3 linked regions of the Yarrowia lipolytica genome follow. The protein of the gene in region 3 purifies or fractionates together with the protein of the main gene of each other region. This does not show direct contact. Links are inferred from orthologs where the notes say so. Each region holds a gene or a part of one and is shown on either strand. Other genes may lie near its edges. The genes, in order: YALI1_B15109g, YALI1_F06991g and YALI1_E22576g.

Evidence for each region.
Region 1: the proteins of YALI1_E22576g (region 3) and YALI1_B15109g purify together in Saccharomyces cerevisiae (affinity purification with mass spectrometry, with the first as the bait; 3 studies listed by BioGRID). This does not show direct contact. The link is inferred for Yarrowia lipolytica from reciprocal best matches to the Saccharomyces cerevisiae genes POL12 and PRI1.
Region 2: the proteins of YALI1_E22576g (region 3) and YALI1_F06991g purify together in Saccharomyces cerevisiae (affinity purification with mass spectrometry; 3 studies listed by BioGRID). This does not show direct contact. The link is inferred for Yarrowia lipolytica from reciprocal best matches to the Saccharomyces cerevisiae genes POL12 and PRI2.

What each region holds. Positions count from the first base shown.
Region 1 is NC_090771.1:1,508,991-1,512,916, reverse strand, and holds YALI1_B15109g (uncharacterized protein), read right to left. Parts: upstream 1,944-3,926; coding exon 504-1,943; downstream 1-503. Other genes in the region: YALI1_B15151g (uncharacterized protein), read left to right, coding at 1-221; YALI1_B15092g (uncharacterized protein), read left to right, coding at 3,715-3,926. UniProt on the Saccharomyces cerevisiae protein: DNA primase is the polymerase that synthesizes small RNA primers for the Okazaki fragments made during discontinuous DNA replication. In a complex with DNA polymerase alpha (DNA polymerase alpha:primase) constitutes a replicative polymerase.
Region 2 is NC_090775.1:697,262-701,172, reverse strand, and holds YALI1_F06991g (uncharacterized protein), read right to left. Parts: upstream 2,044-3,911; coding exon 634-2,043; downstream 1-633. UniProt on the Saccharomyces cerevisiae protein: DNA primase is the polymerase that synthesizes small RNA primers for the Okazaki fragments made during discontinuous DNA replication. In a complex with DNA polymerase alpha (DNA polymerase alpha:primase) constitutes a replicative polymerase.
Region 3 is NC_090774.1:2,255,288-2,259,295, reverse strand, and holds YALI1_E22576g (uncharacterized protein), read left to right. Parts: upstream 1-1,676; coding exon 1,677-3,503; downstream 3,504-4,008. Other genes in the region: YALI1_E22592g (uncharacterized protein), read left to right, coding at 41-1,261; YALI1_E22555g (uncharacterized protein), read left to right, coding at 3,804-4,008. UniProt on the Saccharomyces cerevisiae protein: Non-catalytic component of DNA polymerase alpha, which in a complex with DNA primase (DNA polymerase alpha:primase) constitutes a replicative polymerase.

The sequences.
Region 1 (3,926 bases), on a different chromosome or scaffold from region 3:
CCATCATTGCCATTCCTCAGTTTGTCTTCCCCACCAACTTTTTGTCGGTGACAGTTTCAACTGGATCGTGGAAGACTGCACGAAACCAGCTGTTTTGGAGCCACAACCAAGCAGGCCGTCAGAAGATTGAAATCACTGTACTAGACCACCAGCCCGAGTTTGGAGGATTTCTTGATACTTTCTATTCCAATCTGGCTGAGCCTTGTTGTGTGGTTATGTAAGTAGATGTGGTATCTATCGGTTAGCTAATATTTATTGTGTATTAAAAGAGCGGAGCAGTAGCTACAGTACCACGGGTCTGTATAAGTACGAGTACATGTGTTGGATGTACTGTATAATGGAATGAAACAGTTACAGTATGATGTACTCGCATATGTAAGCTACGATAATATACTATATGCATTTACAGTATAAACTGTTGTCTGGATGTTTGGAAGTTCTACACGTGTGGTCAAAAACACCATTAAATATATTAAACGTTCATTTTCATCATGTTTCCTTGTCTAAAACTCCATCGAACCCACGTTGGCAGCCTTGACTCGCTCAATTTCCTCCTTCAAGAGCGGTTCCACAAAGTTATCAAACACCTCGACGAAGGGCTTGAGTCGAGTCTTATCAGAAGCGTGCTTGGAAACAGTACCTTGAGCATCTCCCTCGTAATTGTTGAAGTCGTCAATAATCTCCTGCAGTTTAGGACAATCCTCTGGGGTGAACAACAACTCATGAGTGTGGCTGTCGACGTCCATGGGCACACAGACGTTGGAGGTCTTTGGGTGGATGCAAAAGGGCGATTTCAGAAGATGGCCTGTTCCTCGAGACACGGCTCCATCGAGCTTTGGCATGAAAACAGTTAGAATCACGTTTTGTTTGGCCTCGACGAGCCTCTTGGTATCCAGGTTCGCAGATACTCCCGAGGAAGCCACCTTGTCGATATCGCTCCACTTGTCTGCCGAGCTAGCAGAGTCTCCGTTCTTCTTCCATTTCTCAGCCAGGGCTCTTCTCAGCTTTTCGTCCGGAATGAACGCCAGCAGGAATTTGGAGCCCTCCTCATTGGCCCAAGGGTCCTGGGTCTGCAGGACAACCTCGTTGAATACGGTGGTGGCGATATCAAGACACCGCTGAAGATGGGGATGCAGGGGACGTCGAAGACTCGAGTTGCCGGCAGCACTCTTGTCTGTAGCGTCTCCAAATGCAGCAATGTAGGAAACAACTGTAGAACGCTGTCTGTCGTTAAGATCACGAGCCTTCTTGTCGCTGACCCACGCATGGGCTCCTCGTCGGCCCGAAAATACCCACATAATGTGTTTGTATCCGAAATCCTCCTTGAGAGCAGAGTTGACCATCTTAACGGCTACCTGCACGTATCTCCAGCACTTGTTGCAGACGGATGCTCCAGAACAACACGTTCGGAATTTGTCGTAATCGTCCATATCAATATCGAAGACGAGCTCCTTAGAGACAGGCTTAAACACGTCCTTTCGCAACTTCTTTCGGTCCTTGGGCGAATGTGAGTAGACCGCTCCGATCTCGAATCGCTCAGGAACAAGATCGTCGACTCGAGACTTGAATTCACGCTCCTCCGCGAATGAGTTGAATCGCAGATACGCACCGTTTCTCAGAGTGAAGGCAAACTCTCGATAAGCAAAGTCTCGTCCATTTCGGGGAGAGTGGTTGAGCCATCGATGAAGCGTCTTGAAGGGAAAGAAACGCGAGTAAAAGAGTCCGAGGCCCTCAAAATCAACCTCGGGGGCGCTAACCGAAGTCTCGGGTTGTCGCGTCTCTGGAATCTCAGGAAGAGGCTCCTCAATTTGTTCCATGACATCGTTCATGATAGCATCATACAGCCCCTGCTGTGGAAGTCGTGGAGAAGATGAAGGTGGCACAGTGATGTCAGTTGGGGGCTCCGCGGTCGATACGGGCGAAGAGGGCTCGGATACTGTCATTTGAGCTGTAGTATATGTTGCGTGGGGTAGGTGTGCCGATTTGAGATGTCAACTGTAGAGGACAAAAAAAATGAAGGTGCAGTACGATGCTAAACGCGTCTCTCCAAGTTGGGAATCAATTTAACTCCACGCGTTGCGAAAGACGTGATTAGAGTTGGGGGGTATTATAAATGACAAATAAGACATGGGGAGATATCCATCATACTGTACATTGAGGATCAAAAAGATATTGCTGATATATACATATACTACTTACTAAAACGGTTATATTTATTATAAAGCTACCGTTGTCTGTAAAAGATGGACTTTTCCAAGGATATTTCCTTCTATTAGGCATAGGGGACTGCGACGAGTGGATGCTGGCTGAGAGTGATCGCATGAAAACAATACTGTGAATGTTCCACTGAGACTAAATGAGAGGGATGCAGGTTTGGTTAATTGCCAGTCCTATTTGTACGGTAAGATGCTTGACTGTTCTCTTCCCTACTGTGTCTATATCTGTGAGGTTCATCCAATCCTATATTCTCAGAGAGCCTTGCAGATGTTCACTCTGCATGAGTCTGTATGGTTTGTCAGTGTCAAGTGTTGCACTATTCTCCCTCTGATAGTGTAAGCATGAATAAAAACAATAGATGGTTACAGATAGTTGTATAATTCTATGAGTGAGCTTGCCAAAGATGCTACTTTCTTTAATAGCATCGTGTGGTTCTGTACAGTGGTCTATGTAACTCCTTGCCCTGTTCACATTGCAACTTCGACACTGGAGCTCGTTATACAACCTACAAGCTCCTCGAGCTCGTGTTGAAGGTATCACATCGATCTCTGCCACACAAATGTCTCTTACAGCGACTGTTCGGACATGACGGAGGGAATAATGAGGTAGCTATCCATGACGCATGACGCCAGCTACAGTACCCACTGTACATACGGTATCATCGGCATAACGTGAGTGATGGCATCGACAGAGATATGACGAGTGATCACTGAAATTTTCAATCCCCATCTTCGCGTCCCTTTACTCCCCGTGTAGCTTCTCGTTTTTGTTTCTCGTTTATATATCCCCTTTGACGTCAGTTGCGCGAAATATTGTTTGAATCGAGATTTGCAACAAAAGTGCCCTGTGGCTTTGAACATAGCCATACCGTACATGATTAAGACAGAAAATGAAACCAAAATACCTGTAAGCATTGAAAACCTGCCCTTTTATTTCCTTTTCCACTATTTGACCAACTGTTCAACCCCAAATAATGTTCAACTAACTCCATTCTTTAGTTATCCAATTTGTTATGAATGTAATTGGGAACAATGGAGACATTTTGTTCTCCGAAAAGTAGAACACCTCAATTAATTACAGCAGCTAGCTAAACTTGTCATTGGATGTCATTATAGACAGACAAGAAATCATTGATATGAACTAATAGGTGGACTAGTTTCACCTCAAATGTGTTATTGCAATCGCTTCAGCATAACCCCTACAATCAGCCTGGTACCACTCAAATCAGCTTACTAATCAGCACACCCAACGACAACAAAGACACACGACTCCAAGCAAGTGTCTCCATCTCAAACAACTATCGTCAATCAATCTTTTGCCCTTATCATTAATCATTGATCAGACCCGGTCATTCCATCCCATTGGACTAAGTACTGGTACCAATAGCACTTCATAACCGCCACCTGCACGTGACGCCACCTAACCTTGCCACCTTGTGTATCTGCATCACTACTGACTCTCTGAGACCCATCCAACACCACACTACACAATCACAAGATGGATATCGTTCTGGGACTGCGAATCAAGGGCGGAGTGCTGGTTGCCACTTCCAAGGCTGCCACCCGAGGTATTTCCGTCATCAAGGTCGGTGACGACAAGACCAGAGAACTCAACCCCAACACTCTGATGGCCTACACCGGAGAGGCAGGAGACACAGTCCAGTTTGCCGAGTACATCATGGCCAACACTCGACTGTACGGCATCCGACA
Region 2 (3,911 bases), on a different chromosome or scaffold from region 3:
TCCTCGAGTCAAGTAATATCAAACTAAAGTGTGAAAAGTCAAGTAAAGCCAAGTAAAGTCAAGTAATTGGGGATTTGAGATTGAGGATTTTGAGAAAGTCGCTCTATAATAGTTCACGGACATGTACTGTGGCTCGTTTATTAGCATCAATTTTGCTCGATAATTTCAATGCTGCTTAGTCCGTGCAGACGCCAACATTGAGAGAGCTGGAGACGTCGGATGCTGTGGACCGAGACGGCCATTAGTCATACAAAAGAACTACCTGCCGAGGCGACATCGACTAGAAAGAGGTGAACCAGGGGCTATTAATGGTCGAAAAAGTCGAATTCCAAGTGTCTGTGTTGATACCGACTCTCCCCAGCATTCTGTATGGGTTCTAACCCAGGCAACACCAAGAGCTACAGTAGATAAGGAATCGGCGGCATCTTCATCAGGATAGCTCCAAATTTTGAAAGGAGAAGTCATGTGTAAAATTAGTCAATTAAATATATATGAGTCAGAACAGTCGAGCACAATGGCCCTCAGTGTTCCGTAGACCCAGTAAGTACAGTCGTATCAACGGTAGGTCACCGGAGTGTCTAGACCGGTATTGGGCAAACACACTGACTGGTACTGCGACCAACCAGTTTCACCCTACTTTGTGTAGGCCACCTCCAATCCATTCTGCCATCCATAACCCTTCAGAAAGTAGTCATTAGGATGCTGGACCACCTCCTCCACCTTGAGACCCGGATGAGTTAGCTCCAGAACCCGGGTACATGCTCCATGATAGTTGGTGTTCTTCACCTGGTCGGTGATCTTGTTCAGTTCCATGCGGTCCTCAATTCCCATATTCTTGAGCCGTCCAACCAACTCTTCAGGACGCAAAGACCGATAAGGACAGCCGTGAACCAGCTCGGAGTTGGCTGGGGGATTGTTGGCAATGATACTCTTGCAGTCCTTTGGCGCATAATTCTTGCCCGAACCCTTGAGACCGTAGTTATGCAGAATGTTGTATTGGTACTCCTTGTTGAACTTGTCGTCCGTCACCTTGAATGCCTCTCTCCAAAACTGAAGAGCCTCATCGACAGAGAAGCCCAGACCTTTGATAAACAGTCCATACTGGAACCGACCATCGTGCTTGAGATGGTTCTTCTGTCGAAGAGTTGTGTGCAACTGAGACATGCACAGAGGCATGTGCTTGACGACAGAGTCAATGTTGGAGGGTCCAATTTTGCCATCCAGAGCCTCATTCTTCTGGAACGTCTCGGTCACGCCAAACTGCGCAAGATGGTCCAAAATCGGCATCAGGCGAGTCGACTCATCCAGCCGAGAAAGCAACATGGCCGCAGTCTCCATGGCAACAGCCAAACGGCTCTCAAACTCGTTTACAACCAGATTCTGCTGCAACGAAGCAGGAACATAGACTTTGCCAGCCCGCAAAAACACCCGACGAGAATCAACCAGATCGGCCACCTTCTGCCAGTCAACCTTGACGTAGTCACGCGACGCAATGTCGGCCTTGTCACGTGACACCGTCTCCAGATACGGCCGCAGATCTTCGAATTCGTCCACGTCGACCTTTTCCCACTCAAAGTCCAGCGAGTTGACAAACGAGTCTCTCTCGCCGCCCTCCTCCAAACTCAGTCTGTACCGAAACAGCAGCTTTTCGCGCTCCACAAACTCCTTGCGCAGCTCTGGAGTGCGGCAGTATACCAGCCGCAGAATGAAATGCGAGTAGTGGTCCTTTTGCCGCTGCTTTTGTGTCACTTCGTCAGAGACGTTTCGGCTTGAGCCCAGGGGTAGGTACTTCTCCAGCGTCGGCTTCAGGCCCGAATCGAGGTCTTTCAGCCCTGTCTTTCCGCTCAGTTGCAGCTGTTGCAGCTTCGTCAGCACCCGGAGCCGGTCAATGGCCCATTCTTCGAACGCCTCCAGCGAAATGCCCAGGTTGGGCGGAGTGTTGTAGAAGGACATTCGGCTGGGGTAAATGATTTCTGCAGGCATCGACGACGGAGCCACGCCCCAATTCTTCCGTTCGGTCGCTCGTCGTTTGCTTCGGAACATTATGCGACGACTTGTGTGCTGTGTGTTGAGGAGGAGGAAATGTGAGAGACGTGACGTGATGGAACCAAATGTACTTTAAGGGAAGACGCGTTTTTTAAGCTTTCATCACGGGTGGTAGAGATACGGGTTTGAAATGCGGGAAAGCATCTCAAATAAGGTTTGCACAACATAATAGTGTTCCTCCAAAGTTTCCCTACAAAATGGTATATCCAGGATATCTCTACGACGCTTACTCAGCAATATAACAGCAACCTCCAACTCAACCAAGGAGAGAGTCGCGTCAAAACTTTTTTTCTTTCTTTTAATAATTGCGCGTCAAGCCAAATCAAGTGGCTGGATAGAGTATCATCAAATTAGTCACGTCACGTGACGAGAGCCACTCACGTGATTGTCGGGTTTGTGGATTTTAAAAATATTTTTTAGTTGAGAAATGCTAATTTAGTTGGAATTAGTTGGTGGATCAAGTAACTTTTGAGGGAGAGTGAAAAAAAAAGACTGAAAAAAAAAGAAGAAAAAAAAAACAAACGAAAAATGGTTCCTAAAAGACGAGAATTTGAAAGTGGGATTGAAAAAGCTCAATTAATTCCTTCAAAACTTTCTAACGAGTGGAAAATGTCTTCTGACCAATGTTTAGGTGGTTGTCTGTCAAACTAATATGATATGTTACTTGTACATACTGTGCTGTACATATATGATAGGACTGTGGAAGACTATGGGAGATTAATAGGAGAAAGCTGTATATTAATCGAAAGAGAGAAGTAGGAGGACTCCAATGGCATAGTCCAAGCGTTCCCAGGATTAGTGGTTATTGGACTGGAAACAATTATGTCGGTTAGGAGGTCCTGCAGCAACATGTCAGTAGAAGACATACAAAGAAAGCTGTAGAAATGTGTTGCATGGCAATGTCTGGTTTGTACGTACTGAAATGACAGCTAATTTGCTACCGTTTCTCACTTTGAGGGCTTTTACTGTGAGACAAGTGGGGCACTCTACATGTTAGAAACAGAGTCAACTTTTCTGGTTCTAGTAGTTGTTTTTGCATTGAGATATGCACTAAATGGTATCATTTTGAAGCTCCCTGATCAGATTGTAATGATTTCAAGTCCAGGGTTAAATATGTCAACTTTTTGCCGAGTCCTACAGACTTTCCCTCGGAACATGCACCCGTCAGTCCTTACAGAATGCATCGTCGGCTCGATGCATACTCTCAGACTAATGCTGGGGCGACGGGGTGCAGAGATATTGGTTTGACAATGTATTTGTGTAACGAGAAGCGGATGTCTCAATTGATGATGAGCAGCGACAATGAAAGCAGACAATGACAATGAACAATGAACGCTAGGGGTTGTATCAGACAGGACGGCCAGGGTGGGCAATGGTGGGGCGCAAGAACGTGAATGTTACCAGGTGGAGTTGGAGGGATTTACAGAGTCTAGAAAATGCTCAATTGGGTCTGGGAAACAACCTGAACCGCCGTACAGCGAACAATAGTTGCTCAAAACGAAGTATATAAGTGGGGGGAAATAGTTGAAGAATTAGTTAAGAAAGTGTCGTAGGGGGAAACGCGGGTCGCGGTAGAAGGGATGTTGTAGACACGATATTTCTACTTTTTTTCTTTCAATGTAGAAAGTGGCTGGGGATGAACAAATTTGTCAACTGCGTATACCTATTCCGTCATTATAGACATATTTATGTTGGAAGGGATGTGGCATTTTGTTTACAATTTAGTTGGAAAAAAGGTGGCATTTGTTGACAATGTAGTTGACTTTCTGGATGAGATCAACATATGGGCTCTTCTGGAAAAAATCAATGGAGATGACATTGTATGGGATAATTTGGCCACACCAAAAGACATGTAAAATTGCATA
Region 3 (4,008 bases):
AGACCCAAATTTTTGAATCTCTTCTCACAACACACACAAAATGGCTGAACAGATCGAGAAAAAGGTTGTGGATCTGCTGGTCGACAACGCCGAGAACGACGCTGCTGACGCCGTTGTCCAGGCCGCCGCCGGTCTGGCTGAGAAGGCCGCCGAGGGCATTGTCAATGCTGTCAAGGGCCCCATTGAGGAGGCCATCGAGGCTCCTGTTGCTGGTGAGGAGAAGGAGTCCAAGGAGGAGTCCAAGGAGGAGTCCAAGGAGGAGTCCAAGGAGGAGTCCAAGGGGGAGTCCAAGGAGGATTTCAAGGAGGAGTCCAAGGAGGCTGCTCCTGCCACCGAGGAGAAGCCTGCTGCCGAGTCCAAGGCTGAGACCAAGGAGGAGCCCAAGACTGAGGAGCCTGCTGCCCCCGCCAAGCCCAAGGAGCCCGTCACCGACGCCGAAGCTCCCATTCTCAAGCAGGTGGAGTTCTACTTCTCCGACCAGAACCTGCCCACCGACAAGTTCCTGTGGAAGGCCGTCCACAGCAACGACGGCTGGGTGCCCATTCACACCATTGCTTCCTTCAAGCGAATGCAGCAGTTTGCCAACCCCGAGGCTGAGGATCCTCTGGCCGTGATTGTCTCTGCTCTGCGAAAGTCGCCCTCTCTTCTGGAGGTGTCTGAGGATGGCACCAAGGTCAAGCGAGTCAAGGCTCTGCAGGCTCCCGATGACAAGTCCAAGGACGAGGCCAACGCCCGAACCGTCTACGCCAAGGGCTTCCTGCCCGAGGACAAGGTCCCCACCAAGGATACCCCTGCCTCCGAGCTTGGCGCCCCCCTGACCCGAGAGGAGGAGCTTGCTCTGCAGATTGAGATTGAGAAGTTCTTCGAGGGCTACGGCAAGATTGTGCAAGTGCGACTCCGACGACGAACCGAGCAGCAGAACCGGTTCAAGGGCTCCGTGTTCGCCGAGTTCGAGAAGCTCGAGGACGCCACCAAGTTCCTGGCCCTTGATCCCAAGCCCACCTTCCAGGGCCGAGAGCTCAAGACCATGTCCAAGCCCGCCTACTGCGAGATGAAGAAGGCCGAGCTGGGCTTCACCGACGGTGCCAACGGCAAGCGGGGTCCCCGAAAGTTCAACGGCTTCAAGGACAATGAGTCCCGAAAGCGAGGCAACGACGACGACGACAACGGAGACAACAAGCGACAGCGAGGTAACCCTCGACGTGGTCGTGGTGGACGAGGTCGAGGCCGAGGCGGCCGAGGCCGAGGAGGACGAGATTAGTGTATTATAGACGATTCTGAATAGAGCAATGATTAACTATGATGTGATGATGTCGGTTTTTGTACACGACGAGTGATTGCGCCCGTGCCATACAACATGTATTCTTACTATATATACTGGTTGCGTGCGAGAAGGTAGAACAGGACGACCATAGTTCTGTCAGATTTCATCAGAAGGGTTCATAATTTGAAACTGAAGGTGACATATTGGAAACTGATGGATTTTGACAAAATCAGCCAAATCGGCCCCTTATCTGTCCATTTCTGGTCGCTGAAAACTCGTACAATACGAGTGCAACCTACTCATACTAAGTTGCAGAACTGTAATATTTCTCCCTGCCGTAAACTCAAAAAACGCGTCGCGAGTTAATTAATCACCAGCGCCAAACCACTTTGATCAGTCTACGATACACAACATGACGCTGTCGGAAAAGTTTGGGGCCGTCTACGACGACAATGAGGAGCTCAAAAAGGAGTGCGCCAACATCATGTCCATCTTCAATCTCTCCGAGGAAGATCTGTTCATCAAATGGGAGTGTTTTGCCATCAACACCAACGGCGACGAAAAGACAGACTTGGACCTGGGCAACCTGTCCAAGCTCAAAACGTATCTGCTGAAGGAGATTGAGAAGGCCAAGAAGGCTAAGACGACAACCCCGCGTCCGAAAATGCGACGAAACCGAGAAGGAGCAGGAGATATGGATCTGTTCGACCAACTGACCCATAGTGCTCTTGGAAGTGCTAAACGAGGACCTGCTGGAGGTGACAACGACCAGACCCCCGTCAAGAAACGTCCCCAGCCCAATGGTACAGGAAATGGACTGTCCATGTCTCCACCTCTGTCTGTGACTCCCATCAGATCAACTCCCCCTCCTCCATCTAACTCCGCCTACTCTTCTCGAAAGGGAGCAGGCACGGTTATGGAGACCCTCAACAGCTCTATCGAGCTAAACCCAGGCCGAGCCGACCCAGAAACCAAGATCGCCATATCAGATCACGTACAATCCGCCAAATACAAGTACAAAACCATGTACCAGAAGGTGTCTGAGGCGTCTGAGACCTTGGACGAACAGATTGAACAATACATGGATTGGTGTGTTCAAAAGGGACTGGTTAAATCGAACGCCGAATTTAAGAACCCTTCTCTCAGTGACCAGAACTCTATTGTTTGTGCCGGTCGAATTGTCCTTGACACTCCTGAAACTGTGAGACTTACAGATGCCTCTGTGTTGCTGGAGACTCCCCGAAGCCGTGGAGGAGCGCTACGAGTGAAGCTCAATCTCTCCTTGCTTCCCTCCGTGTCTCTTATTCCGGGCCAGCTACTTGCGCTCAAGGGTGTCAACTCCAGTGGACGAGAATTTGTGGTGGAAGAGATTCTCAAGCTGGACCCTCCTCCTTTCAGACAGGTGGATAATGTGGCAGAAACCCCTTCTCTGACCCAAATCATCGCCGCAGGCCCTTACACCACAACCAAGGATCTCGACTTCCTGCCTCTCAAGGATCTTCTCGCACAACCAGCAGATACTTTCATTCTCCTGGGTCCATTCATTGACTCAGTGCACCCGCTAGTCGCCCAAGGAAGCTTTTCGGTGCCTGGCAAAATGGTGGCCACCGTGGAAGACCTGTTCAGACACAAAATCGCGCCTCTTCTCAACGCATGCCCCGCACAGATCATTCTCATCCCTTCCACTAGAGACTCAGTGTCGGCCCACCTTGCATTTCCCCAACCGGCTCTGGCTCGAAAGGCGCTCAATTTGGGCAAGAACGTCATCTGCCGAACCAACCCGGCCCAGTTTTCCATCAACGAGCTCATGTTTGGTACTGCCAACCTCGACATTGTGCGAGCTGTCGCCCAGAGTGAACTCAACAAGGGCTCGCAGGAAGATTTCATGTCTCGCGCAGGACGATATGTGGTGGAACAGCGGTCCCTGTACCCTCTATTGCCTGGTCCTCAGGCCAAACAACCCGGCGTGGCTGAGGAGAATCAGACGCTGACGTACCACCATCTGGACAAGGCGTACTTGGGCCTGTGTGACTTTGTGGACGTGTCTCCAGACATTATCATCATGCCCTCGCAGGTGCAAGCGTTTGTTCGGGTGGTGAATTCGATTGTGATTATCAACCCGGGCTATCTCACGCGAATGGACAGTGGAGGATCGTATGCTTTGTTGACATCGGCCCCTTACCAGGGAGGAGACGCCAAAGCATGGGAAAGAGTACGAGTTGACATTAAGAAGATCTAATCGGTCTTAAGGAAGACTGAAGCGGCGATCTGGTCCATTGTATGCCATTGCCAGTATCTGTGAACAGGAGCAAGACATTATATAACGGTTGGAACAGTCGAAATAGCACCTAAAATACAAGTTAATACTAAGAGTGAAGCACTTGTAGCAACGGAGCTTTCCCTACATGTTGGCTTCCTCTGAATCGCACTTCATATTATCCAGTCTCGTGATGTGATATATTATATGAAGATCGATACAGTACATAATCCGGCCATCTTGCTGATATTCTCCTCCAGATGACATCTCATGACACTCAACATGTGCAAACGAGACCACGAAGAGCGCCTCAAGGACCGCGTTGAACGACTAGAGGAGGAGGTGTCTAATACGCAGGACCGGGTTGAAGGTAGCAATGAGCAGCTGAGGCGCGCCTTGCTCACCAAGAAGTTAACCCAGAGCGAGGTGAACGCTCTTCGGCAGTCTCTAGACGAGAACGAGATCAACTTGATCGAGTATCACGAGG